Linked DNA regions of Arabidopsis thaliana. The protein of the gene in region 1 purifies or fractionates together with the protein of each later gene. This does not show direct contact. Each region holds a gene or a part of one and is shown in the gene's direction. Other genes may lie near its edges. The genes, in order: IDH-VI, AT5G12040, PRXIIF and HSP60.

The links.
Region 2: the proteins of IDH-VI (region 1) and AT5G12040 purify together in Arabidopsis thaliana (affinity purification with mass spectrometry, with the first as the bait; one large-scale study listed by BioGRID). This does not show direct contact.
Region 3: the proteins of IDH-VI (region 1) and PRXIIF purify together in Arabidopsis thaliana (affinity purification with mass spectrometry, with the first as the bait; one large-scale study listed by BioGRID). This does not show direct contact.
Region 4: the proteins of IDH-VI (region 1) and HSP60 purify together in Arabidopsis thaliana (affinity purification with mass spectrometry, with the first as the bait; one large-scale study listed by BioGRID). This does not show direct contact.

The regions. Positions count from the first base shown.
Region 1 is NC_003074.8:3,005,502-3,012,921, forward strand, and holds IDH-VI (isocitrate dehydrogenase VI), read left to right. Parts: upstream 1-3,064; 5' UTR 3,065-3,251; coding exon 3,252-3,443; intron 3,444-3,643; coding exon 3,644-3,964; intron 3,965-4,052; coding exon 4,053-4,214; intron 4,215-4,350; coding exon 4,351-4,425; intron 4,426-4,621; coding exon 4,622-4,731; intron 4,732-4,817; coding exon 4,818-4,890; intron 4,891-5,377; coding exon 5,378-5,569; 3' UTR 5,570-5,964; downstream 5,965-7,420. Other genes in the region: UBQ8 (ubiquitin 8), read right to left, coding at 1-505; AT3G09800 (SNARE-like superfamily protein), read right to left, coding at 1,230-1,289, 1,439-1,523, 1,674-1,751, 1,846-1,993, 2,105-2,264, 2,407-2,437, 2,847-3,064; ADK1 (adenosine kinase 1), read left to right, coding at 6,621-6,712, 6,819-6,872, 7,164-7,210, 7,302-7,333. UniProt on the Arabidopsis thaliana protein: Catalytic subunit of the NAD(+)-dependent isocitrate dehydrogenase involved in the oxidative decarboxylation of isocitrate to 2-oxoglutarate. Performs an essential role in the oxidative function of the citric acid cycle.
Region 2 is NC_003076.8:3,881,984-3,889,619, forward strand, and holds AT5G12040 (Nitrilase/cyanide hydratase and apolipoprotein N-acyltransferase family protein), read left to right. Parts: upstream 1-2,965; 5' UTR 2,966-3,178; coding exon 3,179-3,439; intron 3,440-3,525; coding exon 3,526-3,642; intron 3,643-3,791; coding exon 3,792-4,016; intron 4,017-4,339; coding exon 4,340-4,433; intron 4,434-4,790; coding exon 4,791-4,865; intron 4,866-4,980; coding exon 4,981-5,059; intron 5,060-5,152; coding exon 5,153-5,168; coding exon of another isoform or gene 5,169-5,186; exon of another isoform or gene 5,187-5,376; coding exon 5,377-5,457; intron 5,458-5,546; coding exon 5,547-5,629; intron 5,630-5,710; coding exon 5,711-5,789; 3' UTR 5,790-6,094; downstream 6,095-7,636. Other genes in the region: HSP17.6II (17.6 kDa class II heat shock protein), read right to left, coding at 426-893; HSP17.6A (heat shock protein 17.6A), read right to left, coding at 2,231-2,701; AT5G12043 (uncharacterized protein), read right to left, coding at 6,777-6,911. UniProt on the Arabidopsis thaliana protein: Omega-amidase involved in the metabolism of asparagine. Probably also closely coupled with glutamine transamination in the methionine salvage cycle.
Region 3 is NC_003074.8:1,824,394-1,830,505, reverse strand, and holds PRXIIF (peroxiredoxin IIF), read left to right. Parts: upstream 1-2,599; 5' UTR 2,600-2,696; coding exon 2,697-2,912; intron 2,913-2,998; coding exon 2,999-3,028; intron 3,029-3,120; coding exon 3,121-3,279; coding exon of another isoform or gene 3,280-3,429; exon of another isoform or gene 3,430-3,479; intron 3,480-3,904; coding exon 3,905-3,999; intron 4,000-4,089; coding exon 4,090-4,195; 3' UTR 4,196-4,507; downstream 4,508-6,112. Other genes in the region: TSC10A (NAD(P)-binding Rossmann-fold superfamily protein), read left to right, coding at 295-882, 1,068-1,215, 1,817-2,111, 2,210-2,210; AT3G06040 (Ribosomal protein L12/ ATP-dependent Clp protease adaptor protein ClpS family protein), read left to right, coding at 5,430-5,990. UniProt on the Arabidopsis thaliana protein: Thiol-specific peroxidase that catalyzes the reduction of hydrogen peroxide and organic hydroperoxides to water and alcohols, respectively. Plays a role in cell protection against oxidative stress by detoxifying peroxides.
Region 4 is NC_003074.8:8,665,893-8,674,208, forward strand, and holds HSP60 (heat shock protein 60), read left to right. Parts: upstream 1-2,879; 5' UTR 2,880-3,120; coding exon 3,121-3,158; intron 3,159-3,348; coding exon 3,349-3,502; intron 3,503-3,648; coding exon 3,649-3,808; intron 3,809-3,899; coding exon 3,900-4,171; intron 4,172-4,256; coding exon 4,257-4,361; intron 4,362-4,447; coding exon 4,448-4,534; intron 4,535-4,639; coding exon 4,640-4,729; intron 4,730-4,815; coding exon 4,816-4,896; intron 4,897-4,965; coding exon 4,966-5,034; intron 5,035-5,163; coding exon 5,164-5,241; intron 5,242-5,354; coding exon 5,355-5,450; intron 5,451-5,543; coding exon 5,544-5,643; intron 5,644-5,729; coding exon 5,730-5,833; intron 5,834-5,914; coding exon 5,915-6,020; intron 6,021-6,099; coding exon 6,100-6,178; intron 6,179-6,271; coding exon 6,272-6,386; 3' UTR 6,387-6,686; downstream 6,687-8,316. Other genes in the region: BLI (BLISTER), read right to left, coding at 98-645, 758-1,244, 1,492-1,548; AT3G24000 (Tetratricopeptide repeat (TPR)-like superfamily protein), read left to right, coding at 6,882-8,316.

The DNA.
Region 1 (7,420 bases):
TGGTAAAGTTTTTACCGGAAAAGGTACTCACAAATATCTGCATACCACCGCAAAGACGAAGGACAAGATGCAGTGTTGACTCTTTCTGGATGTTGTAATCGGCAAGAGTACGACCATCCTCGAGTTGCTTACCTGCAAAGATAAGTCTCTGCTGGCGAGGAAGGATTCCTTCTTTATCTTGGATCTTGGCCTTGACGTTATCGATAGTGTCTGAGCTTTTGACCTCAAGGGTTATGGTCTTTCCCGTAAGAGTCTGCACAAAGATTTGCATACCACCTCTCAACCTCAGAACCAAGTGGAGAGTTGACTCTTTCTGGATGTTGTAATCAGCCAAGGTAAGGCCATCCTCGAGCTGTTTACCAGCAAAGATAAGTCGTTGCTGGTCTAAAGGAATGCCTTCCTTGTTCTGGATCTTAGCCTTGACATTATGAATGGAGTCGGAGGTTTCAACATCAAGTGTTATGGTCTTTTCTGTAAGAGTCTTTGCGTAGATTTGAATTGTCATCTGTAAACAATTTTTTTTATGGGAGAGAAAGGAGGATTCTGAATGGTAAGAACCAAAAAGATCAGGCGAAAAAAGATGATGAGAAGAGATAGAAGAAACAAATACCTTGAGAGAGAGTAGTAGTACTTCACAGAAAACTTTTGCAGAACGATCGATTTAGGGTTTGAGTAAAAGCGTTTCTCAGTTTATATAGAAGAGGAAAAGTTTTGGATTTAAATCAGCTTTCGATAATTATAAAATATTCGACTTAATCTGTTAATTAAATAATTCGAAATTTAGTATTATCTTGTTTATCGCTTTGATTTTTTTATAAAATGCGAACCAAAACAATTCTTGCTTTGATTATTTTTATAAAATACGAACCAAAACAATTCTTGCTCTTCTGATATGGCGTGCACCTCAAAATAGAAGGTTCTGAGGGGTGGCACTTTAGTCTTTCTTCACCTTACAAGATCACTAGCATCTGAAATCGCTTGGAAAATGAAATATTCCTGAATTGCTTAGAGTTTAGACTTCAATTAGAGTAATAAAATTCCACTCTCCAAAAACATTCATGCATTGCACAAAGCTATATATATAATCAAACCTTTACTACCAAACTTTAAGAGTTTGTTTGCAGAATTCAATTATTAGAGACTTTCAAACCGAAAGACTCAAAAATAAAAAGTTGCTCAACATAGAAATTGAAGTCCATGCTTCTATTATTGTGTCGCCATGATGGAACTCATGTAAGCAGACTTCTTGCCAGATGCTCCCGAGCTGTTGCTAGCGCTTGTGTTAGTGTCTGCAATACCGAAATGTAAACAGAGGGTTCAAATTAGAAGTTCACGTTTGTGTTTATAGCCAAACCAGACCAAAGTTATAGCAAAACTAAATCAAGACTATTGCTTTTCCACAGGGAGATGTAACAATAATAGTCAAAAGTGTCGTTACCTGTTCAGAGAGTGAACCACTAGCTTCTGTGCTCTGCATTGCTACTTTCCCCGCAATGACGTTTGGATCCGTTTCAAGAACCACCCTTAACACATATTCCATAATAAGCCACAATCAGACAATAGCTAACTGCTAAGATATATGGGACAAGCTTAAAAAAGGTTGAGCAAATCTTTAGCATGCTTAAGACTTTTATGTAATTGTCGTGTAGGGCTAAACTATTAAACTTGCATACCCTTGATCGACCATTTCATCAAGGCATAGAAAGATGAGATCCAAGTTCTCAAGGGCTTCCATCTTTTCCACATTGCTCCTGGTAAAAAAAAAAAGGGATGCATCATACTTTAGTTGTGGAGATGGTTGATCAATAAATAAAGGCATATTCAGTTGTCAAGTCAAACAAATACCTCAGAAGAAGTGCAACAGCATCAAAAAAGCCTTGAAGAACAGAAGCTAAGATGAGCTCGTTTTCATTTTCACCTCCAGTAACAAAGAAGTGAAGGTCCTGGGCAAACTTATAGACAATAATATTGCTGTCCAACAGTGTGATCTCAGCTGCACATAAAACATCGATATGGCTATTTGAAAGAGATAAGTATATAAGCATACACGAAGTCAGGAAACATGATAGAAATTGTGTAGATGAAAAATGTTATGTAGTCTTACCTTCTGTACGAGCATTGGTCTTAGAGGTCTTTGAGAATACATACTTCTCAAAACTTAACTTGGCGGCATTAGTTGGCCAGTCATCCGAGTAATACTTGACAGCCACACGCTTTCCTTCAGAGTCTAGAAGAAGAATCTTCTTTACCAAAGGACAAGAATCCTATTCAATGTACATTGGAAAGTCAGTAATTAAGTTCCAGTCCAAAAAAAGAGTAAAACTCCTACAAAGCTGTATGATTGCGGCAACATACACACATTCTAACAGAATACGAAATACAATCATATAATGCATATGTACTTACAGGAGACATTGTTGTAAGACTTGAGATGTACCTGAAACAGTGACAAAAACAAAACCAAGTAGTATCTGAGTCAAAAACTTTCGATTTTAACAAGATATTAAAAACTTCAACCCACACTCACAGTTGTTCTAGTCACTGGTACAAAAGAGTACATATACTAAGATCATATGTGACATTATGTGTGTAGTGTAGTAAATGTAATGTTGATGATCTCCATGACAAGATAGCTATTATTTCAACCAGGGATTACAAATGGAGATTGACGTATTTAATAATAGACAACGAATCACCAAAATTCGGATTGATACATACATGCATTAATCACATAACTAAATCTTATCGGAGAATCACATAACTAAGCACAGATGAGAACGCAAACAAATGATTCAAGACTCAAATAGGCAGCAATGGATCTCGATAATCATAATCCAAAGGATCACCGGAATAAAAGATCGGAGAAGAAGTAATGGATTGGAGGATTCAAATGTGAAAAGCGCAAGATCGTCGAGACAGAAGAAATCGCCTCGGAGTGAGAGAGAGCTCCTTTCGCTGTTTCAGTGTCACACTGCTTATCGGGATCTGAATGCTTAATTTCATCTGACCGGTTTTTATAATTTATTGATATCCGGTTCATTTGACCATGGCCGTTTAAGAACATAGGCTGATGCCGTTTCTTATTTTCAGACACTAACTTTGTGCCGTTTTATTTCATGGAAATCGAAATGTTCTCTGCTTCTCTGCTGGAGCTAGAGAAGGTATAAAAGTAAACTTTTTCAGGTCCAACGCAGCAAAAAGTCTCCTCTTTCCTCTCTTTCTCTCTCTGCGTCCTTCTGAGGCTGGAAGCGATGACCATGACAGCATTTCTCGCGAGACGGCTTATCGGTAACGGATCGAGCCAGATTCTCGGGACTTCGAGTTCTAGCTCCGGTCCGTTCATTTCCGTTTCTAGGGCTTTCTTCTCCTCCTCCACTCCGATCAAAGCTACTCTCTTTCCCGGTGATGGGATCGGTCCCGAAATCGCTGAATCTGTCAAGCAGGTCCCTTTTTTCAATCTACTTTGGTGTTGTGTAATTTATGTTACCATATAAATTTTGTTATAGATTCTGGATACTCTTAGGAACCATAATGTCTGAATACTTTTTGAGACGTGTCAAGGGAGAGATTTGAATCATAAAGTTTGTTTTTTTTAGTTTATAGCTGATGGTTCTGAAAATGTTTTCCCTTTATGCTGATCCAGGTGTTTACTGCCGCTGATGTGGTTATTGATTGGGACGAACAGTTTGTTGGTACTGAAGTAGATCCTAGAACCAATAGTTTCTTGACATGGGATAATCTTCAATCTGTGCTTAAAAACAAGGTTGGTTTGAAAGGACCAATGGCTACTCCAATTGGAAAGGGTCACCGTTCCTTGAACCTTACTCTTAGGAAAGAGCTGAATTTGTATGCCAATGTTAGGCCTTGTTACAGTCTTCCTGGTTACAAAACCCGTTATGATGATGTTGATCTCATTACCATTCGTGAGAACACTGAAGGAGAGTACAGTGGGCTTGAACACCAGGTTAGTCTATTGTTCTGTCATTTTAGTGAATCTGTATCTAGTATCATTTTTAGAGCCATGTTGATGATTTGTCATTTTTATTTGCTAGGTCGTCAAGGGTGTAGTGGAAAGTCTTAAAATTATTACCCGTAAGGCGAGTATGAGAGTTGCCGAGTATGCCTTTCTTTATGCCAAGACTCACGGAAGGAAGAAAGTTTCTGCAATTCACAAAGCCAACATTATGCAGAAAACTGATGGTCTTTTCCTGCAGGTCAGCTCATTTTGGAACTCAGAATACATTAGCACTTCTCAATTAGGGGAACATAGCAATTTTTCTAGTCTCTCACTGGCTTCTTTTTCTTAACCTTTGTTCTGAGACAAGTTTTTATTTGCTTCCTGCTTTGCAGTGTTGTGATGAAGTTGCTGCGAAGTATCCTGAGATATATTACGAGAAGGTTGTTATTGACAATTGCTGTATGATGGTAAGCTATAACATGATATCCACCCTATCTTTTGTTCCAAATTATGTAAAGGTCAATCTCATTGTTAATTAAGTTAGTATTTGGGATAATCTTGTTGATTTTGAAGGTTAGATTTCCCAGCAACCCATACTTGGGTCTGCTTTTCGCTAATTTTACTTATGGAACAATGTGGGATTGATAATCTTAATTCTGACAGCTTGTGAAAAACCCAGCACTTTTTGATGTCTTGGTGATGCCAAATCTCTATGGAGATATTATCAGCGATTTGTGTGCTGGACTTGTTGGGGGACTAGGACTGACTCCTAGGTAACATTTGTTTCTTCGTCTCACAGATTATTGTCTAGTATGAAAATGAGGCAATCATCTTATGCTCTTATTATGTTTTGTTCCAGTATGAATATTGGGGAGGATGGTATTGCCCTTGCTGAAGCTGTTCACGGCTCTGCACCTGATATTGCTGGAATGGTTAGTCATCATTCTTAGATGTTATCATCGTTCTAAATTCGTTTGATGCATAGAGTTGTTGTTAACTTGTTAAATTATTAGAGTAAATAGGATTTAGACACTGCATTACAGATTTTGACAAATTTAAGTGAACTTGCCTACTTTTACCCTAAAACTAAGTATGATAGAAGCTGTTCCTGAGAGAAGATTCTCCATTACTCTCTTCTATGCCATTTCTTGGTTGAACATTCAGAAGCTTTCATTGTAGAATGGATTATTGTCTAGTTTATATTGTAGAATGGTTCTTACTGGATGATCGTGCTTGTAGTACTTGAATGATGTTAATAACTGGCCAACCTAGCATTGAGGGTTAAGGAGTCTAATAAATAAATCATGTTTTCAAATACAGTGGGTTTAGATATTATCTTGCCACTATTCAATATCAGAACTTGATTCGATTTTTAGCTTATGATCCACATGTTTGTTATTCTTTGCTGGTGTTGTGTAGAACCTGGCGAACCCAACAGCTTTGCTACTGAGTGGAGTGATGATGTTGCGGCACCTGAAGCTCAACAAACAAGCAGAGCAAATCCACAGTGCCATCATCAACACAATAGCCGAGGGAAAGTATAGAACTGCTGATCTCGGAGGTTCCTCAACTACAACAGATTTCACAAAAGCCATCTGTGATCATCTCTAAACACCCGTGAAAAACCATAATTCTTTCCTTACTTACTTATTGGATCTTCCTCTTGGATTTTCACTCCAAAATTTTTCTACATATTGATCCTCTTCCTATGAGGAGAAACAAAGCCGCCATAGGCTTTAGACATTGACTTGTGTTTTCCTTAGATTTGAAGTTCTTGCAGAGCTGTATTACTTCTTCTGCCTTTAAGATCCATAACAAAAGAAGGATACAGATATTGGAAGAATCCATCAAAAGGTTCACATTTACAGTTTGTGGATTTTGCCTGAATTGTTTGGCGTTATGTCTTATTCTCTGTGAATTTTCAACAATAATAATATCGTCCCTTTTGTCCTTACCTAAATTGTTTGCCTATTCTCTGTGAATGAATGAATACATAACTCTCAAACCCTGAAAAGTGAAAACTTTCAATGCTGAAACAAACCAACGTGGATGATTCAGGACTTTTCAATGCCACCGACAAATTCAATCTTTTTCCTATTCATTTTGTAAGTTGCAATGCTGTCACATTTGGTTTTCTCATTGTTTTTAACTCTCTCTTAAAGAAACAACTTAATTAGAATTTTTATGTTCTTACAACAAGATCCAATAGACTTTTGGACATGTGTTGACACTTTTCTCAAGTGGGTTGGTGGGATAGGGACGTATATAGCTGCATTTGACAACAACACTACTCTATTTCATCAATTATTTCGTTACTCATAAATTTTGTTTCAGTTAACTTTTCTCTACAAATGAAGTTGAATGAAATGAACTATACTAAAATTTGGTTTAATATAGAATTAGAAATTCCAATGGCAAATTTATGCATGATTTTGAGCTAATATATAAATATACATTATTTTGCCCAAAAAAAAAGATAAATATGCATTAAAAAATAATATATATAAAATAATAGGAAGAAGAAGAATCTATCTTTGGTATACCTACTTTGGTTTCAGAGCTTATAAACACAAACACTTCACTCACACAAAACACTTGCTCCTCCATTTACCAGATCTGAACCTCTTCCCTTTCCTCGAAAATCCTTCTAACATCATCATCCATGGCTTCCTCTGATTTCGATGGAATCCTTTTGGGAATGGGAAACCCACTCCTCGACGTCTCTGCCGTCGTCGACCAACAGTTTCTCGACAAGTAAGCTCAGATCCGGATCGTTTTCGCTCGGATCTAGATTGTTTGTGTTTACGATATTCTTTATGGGTTCTCTGAATTCTAATGCTTTCTTTTGAATTCGTGACAGATACGACATCAAATTGAACAATGCGATTCTCGCAGAGGACAAACATTTGCCCATGTAAGTGAATTCACTTTTTCTCAATCCTAGCGTGCATTTGAATTCAAATGGTGATAATGAGGATTGATTAGTATTTACTCTTCAAGTTGTTCTGTAATTGATGTGGATATGTATATGTAATCTGCGTAGAAGAATTATGATTTGATTGTGACAAGTGCTATGTTTAAGGGAAACAGACACAAGTGTGGTGATTTTTCATTGCCCTTAAGTGATTCTTGATGTGATTTTAATATGACAGTGATTATTTTTCAAATACTCTTTGTTTATTCACATGATAATTGGTATGTTTAGGTACGATGAAATGAGCCAGAAGTTCAATGTTGAATACATTGCTGGAGGTAATTCATCTTTTGAGCTATCAATAGACATTTGGTGTTCATGTGTATTTGCAGTATTTTTGATATTTTCTTGATTTCGTTTGGCTTTCAGGTGCTACCCAGAACTCAATCAAAGTGGCCCAGGTAAAGGATAATTACGGTTTCTACTCATACTTGTTTTGAAGTTAGTACCTTTTTTTGCTAAATGAATGGTATCTTTGATTACTGCAG
Region 2 (7,636 bases), on another chromosome or scaffold:
GAATTAGTAGAAGAAATGATCACCAAAGATATATGCTTAAAAAAGATGAACAATAAAGAACAAGTATTTTAAGTTATGCAAAACAGAGGACTGACCAATTGGTCTGTCACTTGGTCAAATTAAATAAAGTGAAGTATGTATCACATGCAGTTATCTGTTTCACATAATGTAAGTGAGCGATTTAGAGATGTATATTAACATTCTTATTTCCACTGGGCCAATAGATGTTTCCAGAACTTTGATGTGGAAGATTCTTATAACAACTTCATTAATTTGAATATCCCAAAGGAGAATGAAAGAAACAGAACAAACTTTTATTTCATCTTAGAACAAAACACCATATCCCTCACGCATTCCGATTACATTCATCAAATCCATAAATCAAAACAAAATAGATAAATCCAACACACAATCACAAAACAAACTCAAGCAACTTGAACTTGAATTGTCTTTGGTTTCTTTGGTTCCGGAGGAGGAAGTTTCTGAACAGTAACCTTCAACACACCGTCATGACAAACAGCAGAGATCTTGTCCAAATCTGCATTTTCAGGCAACTGAAACTTCCTCATGAACTTACCCATTCTTCTCTCCATCCTCACATACTTCACACCTTCGTTTTCTTTGTTCTCTCTCTGCCTCTCTCCACTCACCACAAGCACATTGTCGTTCTCGACCTGAACCTTGATCTCATCTCCTTTGATTCCAGGCATGTCCACGACGAATGCATATGCGTTAGGGTGCTCGATGACGTCAGCAGGTGTAGCAGCCATTGCCTTAGCGTCTCGCATGTAAACTCGTGAAGGGTTGTTGCGGGTCTTCTCGTTGTTGTGGTCTTCGGGGACTTCAAGCATGTCTTCGAGGATTGAGATTATTGGAAACCTTCCTAAATCCATTGTTAGTTGTGTTGTGTTTGCTTTCCTGATTCTTTGATTCTTGGCTTTTTGTTTTCTTTGATGAGTTTGATGTGAGAAATGTGGGGACTTAAATAGGAGTGGAGATGGATATTTCTAGAGGATTGTCGAGAGAGCGATTGTCGCGGTCTTTAGAAGTTCTTCCGTATTGTTCGAGAAACGTCTTGGTCGTTCTGGTTTTTGTGAACTCTGTAACTCAGGTTTGATAAAATATGAGCCATAACTTTACAGAATTTTTAATATCTATATGGGCTTTTAAATTAGGAATATATCAAGGCCCATTCCATATGTGAAAATAGTTCATGATTCATAAGATTAGTGTTTTAGCAAATTAAAGAACAAATTTTGTGATTTAAGGAATCCGAACAATATTGCTCATTTTAAAGAATACATTCAACTGGAAAGTACATACAATTGCTGAAGACTTGGATTACAAGTGTACAACATGCACCTCAAGATCAGAAGTTCAAAGTCTTAATGATGGAAACAAGACTAAATTAGTATATGCTCTGGTTTCTGGTCAGAAAAATTAATGAAAGACCATATTTATTTTAGTGACCAAAGAAAAATACTATATATGTGGTAGCACTAACTCACTGAATACCACTAAATCGTGTATAACGACATTAATATAAGCTATTAAAGACGGTTACAAATCTGCACAAAACTTGATTTGTCTTAAAACTCAGTTGATGTTATTTGCATTCGCAAATGCAAATTTCATTTAAAAAATAATGTAGCAGATTGAGATATCAGACTTCGTATTATACTACAGATGTAGTAGCTGAAGATTCAGTTACGTTATCCAACATGAAAAAAGTACAAAGAGTTGTTTGGATTTTAAAATCAGAATAACAAAATTGTTTCCTTTCATCTAATACTTAAAGGATAAAATTGAATATGTAAGAGTTTTTGCAGATATAATAACACTGTGTTACTGATCTCATACCCATAAATTACTTCAAGGGACATAACTCCAAAAATATATTTTGCTGACTGCAGAGATAAGGGTGAAATGCAAATGTGGATTTGATGGCCAATGTGCTAAATAGCACCAATGATATTAGGAAAGGATGAACAGTAATAATTTCTGCAAAAACAGAGGAATGACCATTCGGTGTCTTTTTTGTTGTGGTCCTATTTTTGCCTCATAAGCATGGATGGTTCAAGAGAGCAAAAACTTCATTGATTTGAAGATTGAACACAAAGACAAATATGAACAGAGAAAACTATTTTTATTTCATTTTACAACGAACACCAAGAGGTAGTTGCTTATCGATTACATTCATTAAAACACAAAAACACGATCACAAACAAACTCAAGCGACTTGAACTTGTATAGTCTTTGGTTTCTTTGGCTCAGGAGGAGGAAGTTTCGGAATAGTCACTTTCAACACACCGTCATTACAAGCCGCAGAGATCTTCTCCAAATCTGCATTATCAGGTAACTGAAACTTCCTCATAAACTTCCCCATCCTCCTCTCCATCCTCACAAACTTCACACCTTCATTCTCCTTGTTGTCCCTCTGTCTTTTGCCACTCACCACAAGCACGTTCTCGTTCTCTATCTGGACCTGAATCTCATCTCCTTTGATTCCAGGCATGTCCACGGCGAAAACGTACGCATCCGGGTGCTCGATAACGTCAGCTGGTGTAGCAGCCATTGCCTTTGCGTCTCGCATGTAAGCTCTTGAAGGGTTGTTACGAGTCTTCTCGGTTTGTTCTTCAGGGGCTTCAAGCATGTCTTCGAGGATTGAAAATATTGGAAACCTTCCAAACTCCAAATCCATTCTTAGCTGTTGTGTTAACTTTCTTGCTTCTTGGCTTTTTCTTTGGTTTGATTGATTTTGATTTTGATGTAAGAAAGTATTAAATAGAAGTTGAGTTGGATAGTTCTAGAGCAATGTAGAGAGAGCGATTGTTTCGGTGTTATAGAACTTAAAAGCGCTTCTCTAACGTTCGAGAAACGTCTTGATCGTTGGAGAAGTGTAGATGGATATTTCTAGACGAATGTAGAGAAAAGCGATTGATTCGGTCAGGCCCAAGACCAATTCGTTTTCAGGCCCATATGTATTCTGTTTTGGATTTAGTAAGGATGTTAAATTTATCCGGTTTGGTACGATTTCATTCGAATTTAGTGTATAAAATTGATTGAACCGCGTCAATACGGTTGAAACGCAAACGCAGAGGATTCATGAGTCATGGCTTTTGTGAGGTGAAGTATCAATATCATCTACCTACCTATATGATCATCGGACTAAAGTGAAATGAAGTCAGCAATTTCATCGTCACTCTTCTTCAATTCGAAGAATCTTTTAAACCCTAATCCTCTTTCTCGCTTCATTTCTCTCAAATCTAACTTCCTCCCTAAATTATCTCCGAGATCGATCACTAGTCACACCTTGAAGCTCCCATCTTCGTCAACCTCAGCTTTAAGATCCATTTCCTCTTCCATGGCTTCTTCTTTCAACCCTGAACAAGCTAGAGTTCCCTCTGCTCTTCCTCTCCCAGCTCCTCCGTTGACCAAAGTTAGCTCCTTTCTTTTCATTTACCTTTGGGTTTTCAATCATTTCAGCTTTTGATTGATTTCTTCGTTCCATGGGTAATTTTGTAGTTCAACATCGGATTGTGTCAGCTATCTGTTACATCTGACAAAAAGAGAAACATCTCTCATGCTAAAAAAGCCATTGAAGAAGCTGCTTCTAAAGGAGCTAAGCTTGTTCTCTTACCCGTGAGTTTTTCTTCTTTGTATCTTAGCTCATAGCTCTTTGTGAGTTCAATTCTAATGTTCTGTTGCTCAAATGTGTAAAATTTACAAAAAGTATGAGCTAGTGGTATCGTCTCTATGGGGTTTAAAACCATTCAATGGGTTTGTTTCAGGAAATTTGGAACAGTCCGTATTCCAATGATAGTTTTCCAGTTTATGCGGAGGAGATTGATGCAGGTGGTGATGCTTCTCCTTCAACGGCAATGCTTTCTGAAGTTTCCAAACGTCTCAAGATTACAATCATTGGTGGATCTATACCAGAAAGAGTTGGAGATCGTTTGTATAACACTTGCTGTGTCTTTGGTTCCGATGGAGAGCTAAAAGCTAAGCATCGGAAGGTTAGATTTTTTGAGATTAAACTTTCATAGAAGAAATAATGAACTTTCCTCTGCTTTAGGCCATAGAATGAAAGATGCTAATCTTACTTCTAAAATCGTTGTTCATCTTTTATCATCTGTTTTTAGGATCTAATAGACTTAGAATCAGTAATTAGAATGATGTGGTAGTTATGTTCTGGTTCGAGTTCTTCCTCTATGATTCATAAGGACAAATTATGAGGCGAGATGGCCTTGACCGTTTTATGCTTATATTATCAATTCTCAGAACATCTTGTTTTTGATTGCTTGCACTTATTTGTGTTTGTACTTGTGTGTGCATACAGATACATTTATTTGATATAGACATTCCCGGGAAGATTACTTTTATGGAATCCAAAACTCTTACTGCTGGAGAGACACCAACAATCGTTGACACAGGTTATAATCTTGGTTTGCCAAATATAATTCCAGGTCATGCATAAACAATCATGTATCTTACATAAACTCATTGTGGTACTATCTAAAAATAATAATTTAGGATTAAGGATTTAAATTTCCAGTCAGATTTGGGATCTTCTTAGCTCAACAGTGAAATGATTCATTTTCATGCTGGCCTAGTGTTTATGAATAATAATGTTTTTAAGATCTTGCCAACTATTTTGACTGGGGAAATGTCTTTATTGAACAATCAAGTCATAGTAGGACCGTTCACATCACCTCTCACTTTCTAGTACTTATGAGAAATCTTTAACGCGGTGCAGCGCTTGAGAATGATAGTTTTGTTGGTTGTTGCAGATGTAGGGCGTATTGGAATAGGCATCTGTTATGATATCAGGTTCCAGGAGTTAGCTATGATATATGCTGCAAGAGGTGAGTCTTCATATCATAATGCTTTATCCAAATGGACTATCTGCTTCCTCTCTTTTTCGGGTCCATTACGTTTTAAAGAACCTCATCACCCACATGTTTACTTTAATCATATCAGGGGCTCATTTGCTGTGCTACCCGGGAGCCTTTAACATGACAACTGGACCATTGCATTGGGAATTACTACAAAGGGCCAGGTATGATTCACAGTCTACTACATTACGACTTTCTTGGCTTATTTAATCATGGGTAAATCACAATGCTCATCGATCTGTTTTGTTCCATTTCAGGGCTACGGATAATCAGGTACATGAACCAAGTTAAATACTTGTATTGATAGCCAAAAGAGAGATACAAGTTCTGACATTTCTTAATGAATTCATAGCAAACCTGCATTTTTCTTTGAGTTATCAATACAAGTATTATCTTCTGCTCTTTGGGGTTAGTTTTACTTAATTGACTGTTATCAAAGTCATGGACCGGTTAATAGAACTATGTATGCTACTTTCTCCAGTTATATGTGGCGACATGCTCACCTGCCAGAGATTCAGGAGCTGGCTACACTGCTTGGGGGCACTCAACACTCGTTGGGCCTGTAAGCACTAAACTTTTTCTGTGTTACTTGATTGATAATGAAGCTTTTAGCTGATCACTAAACTTTGAAACATATATATTATTTGACAGTTTGGAGAAGTACTAGCAACGACTGAGCATGAGGAGGCCATTATCATAGCAGAGATTGATTACTCTATCCTTGAACAACGAAGGTAATCACGGAAACACCAGAACTTTCTTGGTTTTTGATAGCGTGATCCGCTAACTGAATCTCGTTTTTTTTACCATCTTAGGACTAGCCTTCCATTGAATAGGCAGCGGCGGGGAGATCTTTACCAGCTTGTAGACGTACAGCGCTTAGACTCTAAATGAACGCAGCAGTAACTGTATATCTGAGAGATATTGCGAGTTGAGCACGATTTGGTTACTTACAACTTCATGCATGATCAGTCATTTCTCCACAACTTTGCTGAGATATGTAAAAGAATAAAAATCAAACTTTTGAGTTAAAATCGAACAAAGGCAAGTAAATTCTGCTTAGATAATGTGAACTCCACCCACTTGCCATGTGTTTGTTGTTTATAAACTTCAATGCATTCTGATAACAATGTAGACTTGTGATTCGCAATCAGAATAGCATTTGACTTTTTTATCAAAATATATACACTATTTTTGTGAATTTCTCAGTAAATGTCATTGTCTATGAAAAAAACAACTCATATCTTCATTCCACAACCATCATATTCAATATCGAGTACTTACTTAAACTAAAATTGTTATAACTGGTTCTTCAAATGTTCACACCTACTCAAAACGTTTCATCACATAACTCAAGTCAAGTCAAAGATAGCCATGGTATATTTTGCTACACATCAAGATTTGTAATATGCAATGTAATTTGTTTTAGATGAGAAGAAGAAAAGAGTATATAGAGTATGCAGATAGGTTCATCCACAAGCACAAGTGGGATATAAAAGATTTGAAAATGAAATAACATATAAACTTTTGTCAGCGGCCTCAACATGATTTGAAGATCCGTGGTTATTGTTGAATGATAAATGACCGGACGACAAAATGCAGTTACAACAGCAGAAGCCTTACAAGATTCACCACAGTGTGTAGTGGTTTCGTCTTTGGAGAAGACACGTGGACCAAGCCTATAGGGTAAAGAAAGACGTAGAGTGGTCCATGCTCGTCACAGGGACTCTGCGAAAGAAGGAATGCCGTACGCGTGTGGGAGGCCGCACGTGCTAGGGGCCCATGTGGCCATGGGCTATGCTTCACGTGCCAGGTCACGTGTAGGACCAAACCTCACCACAGTTCGGTACCACCGCGTGAATCTTCTCTCTTTTCTTTGTGTCAGCTCTTATTGTCTCTCCCTGACCAGCTCAATCTCTGACTACCCCGTGCGGTATTATTTCCTTTTACTCCTGTTTCTTGCTCATATCCCAATAACTCAAATAGTTGTTTCCATTTTTTAAGATTCATTTCCATTTTATATCATTTTGTAACCCTTTTTTTGTAAATATTTTATCTATTCAACCTCACTTTAGCGAACATTATCTTACAGTTTTTGTTGCTTTTACTTTATAGATTATATTTCTCTTAAACATACAAATAGAAATTAGTGTAATGTTTGTATGATGTGTAAATGATATCTACTCCCAAATAGTATCACTCAATTTTGGAGTATATTATTGTTATAGGCATAGTATTTTAAACAAGGACACAAAAATATTTTTGCTTTCATAACAATCAAACAAGAAGTCATGTTTATGTAAGTTTCTGTTTTGTACTATATATCTTGTTTGTTTTTTTAACTGTCTTGTATTATTATGTTTAGGTAAAAGTATGGTCCAAACTAGAAACAATATTTACGGGGGAATTATTCGAAACTGGATATGATAAGGAGATGTCAAACGAAAAACATTGGCCGAAGTGTGACAAAGATATATAGAATAGACACACAAGAAGACATAAGTGTTTTTCATAACGAAAAAAGAAAAAAAAAAAGAAGAAGAAGACATAAGTGTTTATGAAATGAGGAACAATGAAGGAACAAGAAAGGAAGGAAGCATGTGAGACTGAAAAAGACGCAAAACAAGTACAATTCCTTAACCGGTCCTTGTCGACCCAACCAATGAGCAATGTGGTGTAAGAGACATTTTGCTTATATTTAAACATATTAATCGTTTGATTAATTAAGACCCTACTTGTTC
Region 3 (6,112 bases), 1.2 Mb from region 1:
GAAGAAACTAAAATAATTTCACAAAATAATACTATACAATTTTCTATTCATCTCTTTCATAAAAATGTGTATTAGTCTAAATCAACTACAACAAATAAGGTGATTAGTGTCAGTTGTTTTTTAACGACATCATTAGAAAATAGAAACCAATTTTGAAACACAACGACAACAAGTCACAAAATTATTATATAAAAAATAAATTACAGCGAGAAACTAAAACGGCCGGTTCAGATAGAAATCATTAAACCGAGTAATTGGTTAACTGGTCTAATCGTATTTGTTTTTATTTCTCCAATGAATGAGCTGACGGAGCTTCACATCGCCGAGAGCTTCGTCACGAGATCCATGGCGGCCATTTCTCCTCTCTTCCTTCTCTTCCTCATTCCCATTATCCCACTATCGCTTCTCGCTATCTTAGCCCTAATTGTACGTCCTCGTCCCATTAAGATCCCTATCAAGTCCCGTCACGCCTTCATCACCGGTGGATCTAGCGGCATCGGTCTTGCTCTCGCCCACCGCGCCGCTTCCGAGGGCGCTCGTGTCTCAATCCTCGCCCGATCCGGATCAAAGCTCGAGGAGGCTAAGAAATCGATCCAGCTCGCCACTGGTGTCGAAGTCGCCACATTCTCTGCAGACGTTCGCGATTACGATGCAGTCTCGAAGGCGATAGATGAATCGGGACCGATCGATGTGTTGATTGTTAACCAAGGTGTGTTTACGGCGAAGGAGCTGGTGAAACATAGTCCTGAAGATGTCAAATTCACGATTGACGTAAATCTTGTTGGGAGCTTCAATGTGATTAAAGCCGCTTTGCCTGCCATGAAAGCAAGGAAAGATCGTGGACCTGCTTCCATCAGTCTCGTCTCCTCTCAAGCTGGTCAGGTTCGTCTCTCAAATTTCCCATCTTTATGGATTTAAGTTTTATCTGGAGATTGTAGTTACCTGAAGTAAGACATTGACAATTTATCACTTGAAGTAACTTTTGTGTAACTGCAATAATGTGACCTCATGTAATGCAGTTTTAAAGATAGAATGATGAAGGATGTTTTTTTTAATAAAATTTTCAGGTTGGTGTCTATGGTTATGCTGCATATTCAGCAAGCAAGTTTGGTCTTCAGGGTTTAGCGCAAGCATTGCAACAGGAAGTTATATCTGATGATATTCATGTCACTCTTATTTTTCCTCCTGACACTAATACACCCGGCTTTGAAGAAGGTAAAAAAGCTTCAGTATTTTTCAGATTCATCATGGATGTATAGAGCAGATAATCTAAGTTTAACATGTGAGGGTAGCTAGGATTAGGTACTGCTACTAAATACTAAGGCAATTAAATGTATAAAAGAGTTGGAGACAGATTACTAAATAAGGCTGTACTATATGGTTGGGACATATGTAGACATAAACTATTATTCATCTAGTTTGTTATTATGAGATCAAATATGTGCCCTTATCTGGTCTGAATAATTGTGTACTCTATCAAACACGTAGCATTTCATGTTCACATGTTCTATGAGAGTGCCAGTTAGGAGAAACTGATAGACTGGTGAGTTAAGTACTGAGTACTGTGATAGTGTTTAGCTTGAAGTCTCTGCGTACTGTGGTTCACATGATACTGTTTAGAAGAGAATAATGGGATGTAGTTATCTTCCAATAGCATCTGAAAATTTCATAAAAGACTTCTTTTTGCCTATCTGAGAATGAAGTAAGCACTTTTTTTTTTTTGATAACTAATGAAGTAAACACATTATGGACTGATGTTCTGAGTTCCTTGGTTCATATTATGAGTTTGATTGATTTTCCTTGGGTGCTCTCTCAGAACAGAAGAGCAGACCTGAAGTCACTGCCATAATAGCTGCATCCTCTGGTTCAATGGAAACAGAAGAAGTAGCAAAAAAGGCTATGGATGGCATAAAAGCAGGAAACTTCACCGTCTCATGCAACTTTGAGGGATTCTTACTGTCTCTCGCGACAACCGGCATGTCCCCTCAAAGATCATTTTGGCTTGCTTTTCTTGAAGTTATAACCGCAGGGCCTATAAGATTAATCGCTCTCTTCTTTCAATGGGATTGGTATAAAGCCATTGAAAAATGGAGCAAAACCAAAACCAAATGGTAAGTTCCTAATGCCATCAAGTTGTCATCATATAGAATTTGCTCTTGCTTGACTGCGACATCACTATTCTAAAATTGCTTCTCTTTTGTAATTTCAGACAGCCCGACAATGTATCTTGAAGTGCTTTTGGCAGAAGCTTAAACATTGATGGGTATTCTCAAACCTTCTTCTCAGTCCGGTACCACGCCAGCTAGTCGACTATACCAATTCAGAATATCGACATTGCTGATAGTTTTGTAGAAACTCGTCAAGATTCATGTTTCCGGTCTTTGAACAAGCTCTGTTTTTTCTTTTTTTTTATAGAGAAATCAAAGAACTCATTTGAATGTATTTTTTACTTGGTCAAGAAGTGAATGTTTTTCACAAGATGAAATGTAAATGATGTATTTGAAAGAAGTAAAAACTTCAAAACCAAAATTTGAGTGTGTGCTGTTCTTGAGGCTTTTAAACAACGTGCAGTCTGATTTGTTTGTTACAAAACGGCAACGATTAAGTCTCTTTAGAAAGGTCTTTGAGAAGTGCCATAAACGACACTATACAGTAATCGAAGGAACCAAGAAACGGTCTCAATCTTATTTTCAGCGATGGCGATGTCAATTCTAAAGCTAAGAAATTTATCGGCACTAAGATCGGCGGCAAATAGTGCCCGGATCGGAGTTTCATCGAGGGGTTTCTCAAAGCTCGCGGAAGGCACTGACATAACCTCGGCGGCGCCTGGCGTTTCTCTCCAGAAAGCTCGCAGCTGGGACGAAGGTGTTTCCTCCAAATTCTCCACCACGCCATTGTCAGATATCTTCAAGGTTCGAATCTCTCTTTTCTGACAATTTCAATTCAGAGGGGGATTTCAATTTCTGACAAAACGTTTGTGGATATTGATTGGTTGCAGGGGAAGAAAGTCGTCATCTTTGGTCTTCCTGTAAGAAATCTCTATCTTTTCATGTTCCTTTATGTCTTGATCAGGTTTCTGAGTTCTGATGTTGTGCCGGAATATTCGTTTTCTGTGTTCAGGGGGCTTACACGGGAGTTTGTTCACAGCAGCATGTGCCTAGCTACAAGAGCCACATTGATAAGTTTAAAGCCAAAGGCATTGATTCTGTCATCTGTGTCTCTGTTAATGATCCCTTTGCTATCAATGGTTGGGCAGAGAAGCTTGGTGCCAAAGATGCAGTAAGTTCATCGATTTTTTTTTTGTTCCTATCTTTGTTCTTTGACACCAACCTAATCCGATGTTTAGTGTATGCTGATTTGGTTCTTTGCTTCAGAAAACTTGATTTGCAACATAACATATATTATTCGGTTCCTGGTTTCGTTGTCTAAGAGTTTTCAGTGGTGAAGATGGTTCATTTAGGAATCTTTTAACTCCTCAAGTATGTAACTCTTGTTGACGTCCTGATAGTAATCAACCTCTTATAGTTAGAACTATATTACTCTATTATTCACGTTGTCTGTGGTCTCAAGATTTTATATTACACCAATAGACGATAAACAGATCTGATTCTATGATTAAATGGACTTCCCTTATTAGAAAGTTCATAATTCTTGATATGGACTAGCATTACAATAGATTTCTATGTTTATGTTCGGATAAGTTTACGTGCTAGAAGAAATGACTTAAATGTGATGCTCTTGAACGTTGTCTATGATTACCTTCACATTAATAGACGATAAAAGAATTTGATTCTATGATTAAATGGACTTCCCTCATTAGAAAGTTCATAATTCTTTATATCGACTAGTACTACATGCTAGAACAAATGACTTAATGTGATGCTCTTGAACGTTGTCATACCAGATTGAGTTTTATGGAGATTTTGATGGGAAATTTCACAAAAGCTTGGGGCTAGACAAGGATCTCTCTGCTGCATTGCTCGGGCCACGGTCTGAGAGGTAATATACTGGAAAGTCCATTTGTAGAAATGTTTGTATCGTAAACCATTGATCTAACAGATTCGTTGGATTTATGATGTCCATGTTCAGATGGTCGGCTTATGTAGAAGACGGGAAGGTTAAGGCGGTGAATGTGGAAGAAGCACCGTCTGACTTCAAGGTTACAGGGGCAGAAGTCATCTTAGGACAGATCTAAAAAGTATTTCCAGAGTTGCTGTTTCTTCTGAGTTGCAACTGATAATAAGTTTGATCCGAACATGTCTCAAGGATCAGACCAAGTAACAGCTTCACTTCTTTTGTTTTGTTTCCACAGTTTCAGTTTAAATAAAACTTATGTGTCTTGCCGTTTCTCACCAAATGTAAATCTGGTTCATAATATGAATAAGAAACCAATGTGGTTGAGGGATATGATTTTTCGTGTCCCCATTGTCAACATGAAGGTTAAGACTCCTCTGCTTAATCCTAAGTCTCCCACTCGTGTTCTTGAGCAATTTAGCTTCTTTCCTCGCTACCTGGTGTTTCTCCTTCCATTGTTGAGTCTCTAACCTTGTGGCCTCGAGATCTGTTTCTGCAATCACAAGCTGCTCTTTCATTTGACTAAAATCCGGAGCCAGCTATTTCAAACCCAATGCCAAATAAAGCCATTGCTTGTGGAGTATGAAGGTATATAGATGAACTAGGTGCTGCTCTTGAGGGAGGACATGAAAGCTGAGTGGGTTGTTGTGAAAGGCCTTACAAGGACGTAGTATGTCAAATTTGTTGATAAGATCCTTATTGGGCTTGGCCCATAGACAAAAGTAATTTTGAGCCGAAAAGAGGAATCTTTCCACTCTAAACCCTATGCGTGACTCATCTCCGTCTCTCACAGTAATAATCAAGTCAGAGCCGGCGAAGCTTGCCGTTTCCGCCGTTGGAGGTAAGCCTTATCTCTCTTTCTCATCTCCTTCTCCGATTTCCAACTCTCAGATAATAGATTGGCGGTTCATGGATCCCATTGTTTGATTTCGGAACTGTGTTAGCAGCTAATAACCTAGACTATCAAATCTGATACATTGGAATTTATATTTGGGCTATTGACGCTGAAACCGATCTTATGAATCATCCTTTCTTACTCACCATTTTGTTTCACTGATCTTGATATGTTCATTTGATCTGCAAAGAAGAAACCTTTGAACCTAAACCTATACAATAGAAACATGTTTCTTGAAATTATTTTTATGTTAAGCACTAATTTCTTGATAATCAGTCTTATTCTGAGATCTTGATCTCTTTGCATTGGAATATTATCAATGTTTAGTAGATTCGCTAGCTAAAGTTTTCGTCTTTTTTTGAAAACACAGGAGAGTTTTTACTGTTGCTGTCCTGTTGACATTTTGAGACATGAAATGATCTTGGGTTGATGTTTGTATGGTAGCAGAGGAATAGTAGTCATGAAGCTTATTTCACTTGTTAGAAACGTTCGTTCTCGCCAATGTCAACCGGAAGTAATCTGGTCTGTGCAAGTTCGTTTCTTGCAGCAAGACTCTGTCTCGAAAGCTAAACCCAAGAAATACAAATACCCGTCAGTTTATGATCCGTATGGTCCTAGACCCCAGCCTTCAAGCAAAATCATGGAGCTAGCTGAGCGTATAGCTGCTTTATCTCCAGAAGAAAGAAAACAGATTGGTCCTGCACTCAATGAACACCTGAGGCTTCCAAAACAACAGATGATTTCATCGGACGGCATTGGAGCAAAACAAGATACCGGAGCTGGGAATGTAGAGGAGAAGAAGGAGAAGACGGCTTTCGATGTGAAGTTGGAGAAGTTTAATGCATCTGATAAGATCAAAGTGATAAAAGAAGTGAGAACGTTCACAAGTTTGGGTCTGAAGGAAGCGAAAGAGCTTGTGGAGAAAGTCCCGGCTATTCTTAAACAAGGTGTGACAAAGGAAGAAGCTAATGAAATCATAGCCAAGATCAAAGCTGTTGGTGGAATCGCAGTTATGGAGTAGGTGACTTTTGACACTTCGATTGTTTTTTTGTTTGATTCACTATTTGGTATTGTGATCACATCTTGGTACTTAAGGTAGATGTTTTGTAATAACAAATCGATTACTTGACATTGAGTTTTCAA
Region 4 (8,316 bases), 5.7 Mb from region 1:
TTCCCCACTTAGTTCTTCTAAATGAGAAGACCATACTAAGTAGCAATTGACAATACATTAACAAAATAAAAGATGGTGCAAGAAATAAGTATCTTACCTGTTCCAGAGCAGTAAAATCATCATTTTGTTTTGGCATAGAGAAATCAGTAAAACCTGGCATTACTCCATTGGCAGCAGGATATAAAGAACTCCGAAACTTTTCAAATGGATTAGGATAATCAGATGCTCCGCTTGTCAAAGATGATGGTCCATTACTGTCTCTTCTCCCTGATATATAAGATGGCCCAAAACCATCACTGCCAGATAGTTGGGAACCACTGGATGTAACCAAATCCGCTTGTATCTCAGGGTGTTGATATTGAGTCTCTGGAGCTCTTGATATATTGAGGGAATCAAGGAAAGACGGACGAGATCTCTTCACAGTTGCTTCACTCTTAGCTGAGTTTAATGGTGAAGAGCTTGTGATATTCACACTGAAATCTGAAGGTTCAGAAGGTCGAGATGATGTGTCTGGAGAATTAAACAAATAACTGCTTGACAAAGTTGGCTTCTGCACAATGCTACCTCCTAGTTCACCACTTCCCTGTTGGTTTTTGGCAACTTCGTCAAAAGACCCTGCCATCCTGGTAGTAGGTTGTAGAGAGTCTAGCAACAAAAACCGTAATGATAAATTAGGTTGTTGCCTTTAAGGAACAAAAAAGAAGGAGGGTTAGGACAAAATACATTACTACATTAACCTCATATGATAGCCACGTACCTTTTCTGGATGAGGTTAATCCACTGCCGTGAATGAAACCATCCATTTGCATTGAGGTTCCAGAAAAAAGAGATGCAGTTTCTCTTAGAGTAGAAGCACGATCAAAACTTTCACTCGATTGCTTGTCTATATTGCTATAAGGTACAACTTCAGGCCTAGTATTCACTGTTAAGTCCTTCGATGAACCTATCAACTCTAAGCTATTAGAAAAATCAACTTTGCCCACTGATTCCTGACCATCATCTTGTCTACTTCTTTCTTTGCTTCCATCATCCATTGCTGTATTCGAAAATGATAAATTATATACATCTTTGGTATGGGTTTCATTTGAGGTAGATTCAGCAGATTGCTTGAGAGGTCCATTAGAGATAGATGCACCAGCTCCATCTGAATCTATGACACTTTGTTGGCTATTATCAACAGGTTGTGTATTCTGTGATGCCTTTTTAGCTTTTTCTGCTGCTTTTCGTTTACGAAACTGCTCAAGCTGAAAATCCAGAAATTAAACGATAAGAAACACACAATTTTACGCATTCATCTTTAAAAAAAACAAGCTTTTTGTCGAATAAATCTCAATTCTGATTGCATGCGTTAGGACATCAATCTCAATTCCAATATAAACAACCCACCTAAAAAAAATGATCAATTGACTCAGCACCGACAAATTTTAGGGGCAAATTCAAAGTAACGAGAGAATCAAACAAAAGATGATGATTATGATGATGATGATCTACCTTACGGCGTCCAGCTTCAACGTCCTCTTGCCTCCGGGAACTAGTAGCTGATGCCATTGAAAAATACTCGAAATCTCGCAGAGGGAAATGTTCCCTCTCCAATTGCTTCAAATCAATGCTTTTTCAATTACCATTGAATCCGTTTTAGCCAAAGCCATTCCCGGAAATCGCCGTTGTTATGATTGAGGAGAAAACTCAAATTTCAAAAAGCCCAGATCCTGACGCACAGATCGAGAAGATATCGTTGAAATTTCGGGGTGGAGGAAACAGATGGAGATCTCGAGAAAACAAGTTCAAAAATCGATGGAATTGTCAAACAAAGAAATCGAAATTAGGGTTTTCGATCTGAAGGAGAGGAGGACGAAGTTCAAATATTAATTTTGTTCGTCAGATCTCTTTTTAACAGATCCCTTTCTTTTTATTTTCCCCTTCTCTGCTTTGAATTAAACGTTTTTACTCGTTTTTTTTTTTCTTTGTTTGGTTGCAATTTTTTTTTAACGTTCACTCATTGTTTGTTTGGTGAAATTTAGATTTCATGTAGCTTTTGATTTTAAAAATGTATAAGAAGTGTGTAATGTATTTGTTCATAGTCTGTTGTATTTTTTGAAAAATAAGAGAGAATGTTTAGGTAGTAAGAAAATTAAGAGAAAAAAAAATGGAGAGAAATGAGTCGTGATGGACACATATGACAGGTAAAGAAAATAAATAGGAGCATCCATGTGGCCCGTGGAACATGACGACAGCCCACCAAATTACTCATGTTTTTAAAGAGAGAAATTGACAAATTTTAATATCAATAGAAGCTTCAAATTCCTCTACTTTAGGACAACTAAAAGAGCAAAGTAATGAAGAAAAAAAGTGAAGCAAGGTCAACCTTTTGGTATCATCTAGGTGTTTATTATGGGGTTTGGTTCACTTTTTTGTTTGCATTGTTTGGATTTTGGATTTCTTTTGGAGTTCTATTTCATATTATCAGTTTTTATCTTTGCGTATTTAAGAAACTTTTACTGAGGTAAAATATTACACAAATTGCCACTGATTTTAGAGAACAAATTCAATTTAAAAAACTCGAAACACCGATTTGTTTTGTAGAGCTGAAGCAAACCTAAACCAAAAACCTAATCCAACCGGAACCATTTAATTACCGTTGGTTTTCTTTGGTTTGGTGTGGTTCAGTTTGATTAGATTCAAGGATATTTAGATCAAGCGATATAATTTTATTTTATTTTTTGGTTAAACGCTATATAAAATTTGACATGTATATTATGGCAAAATCACAAATGCTGGTTATCAAAAGATGAAAAAATGAAATCTGTTTCTTTGGGGCAAAAAATATTACAGAAATTAAATTGGAAAATGAGATTAACGACTTTTTTTTTTTTTTTTTTCGTCAAATGAGATTAACGATTTTTAAGTTTGAAATGAAAGTTAAACCCTAAAGAGGCCTAAAACCCTAAAAGGCTCATATAGTAACTAGCAGCTGCTTCTAGACTCTTCTCCTTCGCTTATTAAGCCCTCTCAACTCTTCTTCTCTCTCTCTCTCTCTCTCCGCCTGTTCTCCATTGATCTAATCTAACTCGCTCATCAGAATCATCTCTTCATCGTTAATCCTCTTCCTTCTCACTCACCATGTATCGTTTCGCTTCTAACCTCGCCTCCAAGGCAAGGTAATGAACTCACTTTCTTCGTGTTTTTTATTCACTCTCATTGGAAGCTAATGAGGAATTAAATCGATTTGGGTTTTGATCTACTCTCTTCAAATTCATCTGGGCTCTCGAAATCTACTAGCTTAATCCCGATTCTGAATTGCCAGTTCTGATAATAAAAATGGTGTCTTTATTGTTCTCTGTTCTTCAGGATTGCTCAAAACGCTCGCCAGGTTTCCAGCAGAATGAGCTGGAGCAGGAACTATGCAGCGAAAGAGATTAAGTTTGGTGTTGAAGCTCGAGCTTTGATGCTTAAGGGTGTTGAAGATCTTGCTGATGCTGTTAAAGTCACCATGGGTCCCAAGGTACTCTTTTTCTTCTACACATTTTGATTTGATTTGGACATGATTTGGCCAGAGGTTCCTTCCTTAGCATGTGATTTGGGTGACCGGTTGATTCTGTATCGAATTTGGTCTAAGACTTTCTGCTTTATGTGATTCTAATTTTGAAGGGACGTAATGTTGTGATTGAGCAAAGTTGGGGTGCTCCTAAAGTGACAAAAGATGGTGTTACTGTTGCCAAAAGTATTGAGTTCAAAGACAAAATTAAGAACGTTGGTGCTAGTCTTGTGAAGCAGGTTGCAAATGCTACTAATGATGTTGCTGGTGATGGTAAGATATTTCATTTTGATTGATTATGCGGTTCATAGTTGTAGAAACTTTGCAAAACTATGTACCAATGCTTGTTTAACTTGTCATGCAGGTACTACTTGTGCTACTGTCCTCACCCGGGCTATATTTGCCGAAGGATGCAAATCAGTTGCCGCAGGAATGAATGCAATGGACTTGCGAAGAGGTATTTCCATGGCAGTTGATGCTGTGGTGACAAACCTTAAAAGCAAGGCTAGGATGATCAGCACATCTGAAGAGATTGCTCAGGTTGGAACCATTTCTGCTAATGGAGAGAGGGAAATTGGTGAACTTATTGCCAAGGCTATGGAGAAGGTTGGCAAAGAAGGTGTTATCACAATCCAAGTAAGTAAATCGCCGAATGATTGCTCATGTTGCTACTTATATATTGGTCAAAACATAATTCTGACGTGGGTATAATGCATTGCAGGATGGAAAGACATTGTTTAACGAGTTGGAAGTTGTAGAGGGGATGAAATTGGACAGAGGTTATACTTCACCATACTTTATCACTAATCAAAAAACCCAAAAATGTGTAAGTTTTTTACTCCCTGCTCAATTAAGTTTCTTGATGTGTCATATCAATTATAGAAGTTACTGAATTGGAATTAATCTATGTAGGAACTAGACGATCCTCTCATTCTTATCCACGAGAAGAAGATCTCAAGCATCAACTCTATAGTGAAAGTGTTGGAGTTGGCTCTGAAGGTATGTCTACTTTATCTTTATAGTAAATCTGTAATCATTTTCTCATGTAAATGCTGTGTGAAAGGCATCTGATGTGGTTTCTGTTGTCCAAATAAAATCTTACAGAGGCAAAGACCACTATTGATTGTTTCTGAAGATGTGGAAAGTGATGCTCTTGCAACTCTTATCCTTAACAAGCTCCGTGCCGGAATTAAGGTTTGAACAACAGAAGCTCTTACTACCGTCTCCTGACTTTTAGCTATGACTTCTTTGCTTTTAGATTAATAGTTTCCTCCCTGCAGGTCTGTGCCATCAAGGCCCCTGGGTTTGGAGAGAATAGGAAGGCCAATTTGCAAGACCTTGCTGCCCTTACTGGTGGAGAGGTAGTACATTTGTTGTGTAATGTGTTAGTCTTGTCAACAATGGAATATTATTGACTTAGCTTGATACAGGTTATCACAGACGAGCTTGGCATGAATCTGGAGAAGGTGGACCTAAGCATGCTAGGAACCTGCAAAAAGGTAGCCTTTGAAACCTTAACTGATATAGACATGGTGGCTCTTAGTATGAACTAGATTTGGCTATTACATTCTCAGCATATCCTTGTTGGATTGTAAGTGTAGTTGAGACTTGTCTGGCTATTTGTATAGGTTACAGTCTCCAAGGACGACACTGTTATTCTTGATGGGGCTGGCGACAAGAAAGGAATTGAGGAAAGATGTGAACAGGTAATTTTTAACCTTATACCCTGATAAATTGGTTAGTAATAAAATTTGTATGCAAGAAATTATGAAGTGTATGAAAGTAGTTCGTTCTAATTGCTTGGTATTGCAACTAACAGATTAGGTCAGCAATTGAACTGAGCACCTCAGATTATGACAAGGAAAAACTGCAAGAAAGGTTGGCTAAGCTCTCTGGAGGTGTTGCAGTGTTGAAGGTTAGTCCATGTTATAATGTTTTGGGAGTCTTAGAATCATAGCAGCCTGGTTGTAAGTGTCTTGTTATAACTTCTGGAGCTAATTGTGTTTAGATTGGAGGAGCAAGTGAAGCTGAAGTTGGTGAGAAGAAAGACAGAGTGACAGATGCTTTGAATGCCACTAAAGCAGCAGTTGAAGAGGGTATTTTACCAGGTATGTCTCTTCCAGTGAGGAAGACTCTTTGATATAGTGCTAAAAAGTTTGCTATGTGCTAAAGAAACAAATCAAAACACTTGCAGGAGGAGGTGTGGCTCTTCTATACGCAGCAAGAGAGTTGGAAAAACTTCCAACAGCCAACTTTGACCAGAAGATTGGTGTCCAGATTATTCAGAACGCATTGAAGGTTTTCTATTCTTTAGAACTAAAATCCTCTGATCTGATAATTGATGACAAGAAATTGTTTTAACGAGTTTTGGTTTACCAGACTCCTGTTTACACAATCGCTTCAAATGCTGGAGTTGAAGGTGCTGTTATTGTTGGCAAGCTCTTGGAGCAAGATAACCCAGACCTCGGTTATGATGCTGCTAAAGGTGAGTTTCACAATCCATCATCACTTCACTTTTGTTCTCTCTGAAGATTGCATTTAGCTAACTGTGGAGAACAAACTAGGTGAATATGTGGATATGGTGAAAGCTGGAATCATAGACCCTCTGAAAGTGATCAGGACAGCTTTGGTTGATGCTGCGAGGTAAATAAAAAGCGAACACCCTAACTAACAATGTTCTTCTTCATTTCGATATATGAGTCTTAAGCTAAAACTGTATACTTGCGTTGTTGGCAGTGTGTCATCTTTGTTGACGACAACGGAAGCTGTAGTGGTTGATCTTCCGAAAGACGAAAGCGAGTCAGGAGCAGCAGGAGCAGGCATGGGTGGAATGGGAGGCATGGACTACTAGATCCACTAAATTCTGTCTTTTGTTTTCACCAATCACCATCTTAACTTGAGAAGAGAGATACGATTCTTTTAGGAGTTTTAGTCTTCGTCTTTGCCTTATTGTTGCTCAATAACCTCAAAAGTTTTACAATAAACAGAGCACACTTGGCAATGTTACGAGACACACTATTAGCATCAACAAATTTTCCTAAGGCATCATTTGTGTTTGTCATTGCTTCTGGTTCAGGTCTGGTACTCCAACAATAAACCGACCCTTCAAATTACAGTATTTATATATATACCCAAGTTTCATCGTAGTTAAACCAAGATTTAGCAAAATTAAGCAACCACTAACTGAAATGCACCAAAAAAACGAAAACCACAAAATCCAAATTACCATGAAATCGAACTGAAATATATTCCGGTTATATACATTGACACAAACCGAAGATAACCAAACTATTTTCAGTTATAATTCATCTCCGGTTAGCATCTTTGATGTTGTCGAGTGTCGACCATGGCATTGCGTTTCCCGCCTCGTCTCCTCTCTCAGCTGAAGCTATCTCGGCGTCTGAATTCTCTCCCGGCACCGGTATCTGAAGATTCCGAAGACGAATCTTTAAAATTCCCATCCAATGATCTTCTTCTCCGAACGAGTAGCAATGATCTCGAGGGCAGTTATATTCCCGCCGATAGACGTTTCTACAACACGCTGCTGAAGAAATGTACAGTCTTTAAGTTGCTCATTCAGGGAAGGATCGTTCATGCTCATATCCTTCAATCTATCTTTCGTCATGACATTGTTATGGGCAACACTCTTCTCAATATGTATGCTAAATGCGGAAGTTTGGAGGAAGCTCGTAAAGTGTTCGAAAAAATGCCTCAGAGAGATTTTGTTACTTGGACTACTTTGATTTCTGGTTACTCGCAGCATGATCGACCTTGTGATGCGTTACTTTTTTTTAATCAGATGTTGAGATTTGGATATAGTCCCAATGAGTTCACTTTGTCTAGTGTGATCAAAGCTGCTGCAGCTGAGAGAAGGGGATGTTGTGGTCATCAACTTCATGGGTTCTGTGTAAAATGTGGTTTTGATTCGAATGTTCATGTTGGTAGTGCTCTTCTTGATTTGTATACTCGCTATGGTCTTATGGATGATGCACAATTAGTCTTTGATGCGCTTGAGAGCAGGAATGATGTTTCTTGGAATGCTCTGATTGCTGGTCATGCTAGGAGAAGTGGTACAGAGAAAGCTCTGGAGCTTTTTCAAGGGATGCTTAGAGATGGTTTTAGACCTTCCCATTTCTCATACGCTAGCCTCTTTGGTGCTTGTTCCAGTACAGGGTTCTTGGAGCAAGGGAAATGGGTTCACGCTTATATGATTAAATCCGGTGAAAAGCTTGTGGCCTTCGCGGGAAACACTCTTCTTGACATGTATGCAAAATCAGGAAGCATCCATGACGCGAGGAAAATATTCGATAGATTGGCTAAAAGGGATGTGGTGTCTTGGAACTCGCTGCTGACTGCTTATGCCCAACATGGATTTGGAAAGGAAGCAGTGTGGTGGTTCGAGGAAATGAGGAGGGTTGGGATTCGCCCCAATGAAATCTCGTTTCTCTCTGTGCTTACAGCTTGCAGCCATTCTGGTCTTCTAGATGAAGGATGGCATTACTATGAATTGATGAAGAAAGATGGGATAGTTCCCGAGGCTTGGCACTACGTCACAGTCGTAGACCTTCTTGGGCGAGCCGGTGATCTTAATAGGGCACTGAGATTCATTGAAGAAATGCCAATAGAACCCACTGCAGCCATCTGGAAAGCCCTGCTTAATGCTTGTAGAATGCATAAGAATACGGAATTGGGAGCTTATGCGGCTGAGCATGTATTTGAACTTGACCCTGACGACCCTGGTCCCCATGTAATACTATATAACATCTATGCATCTGGTGGCA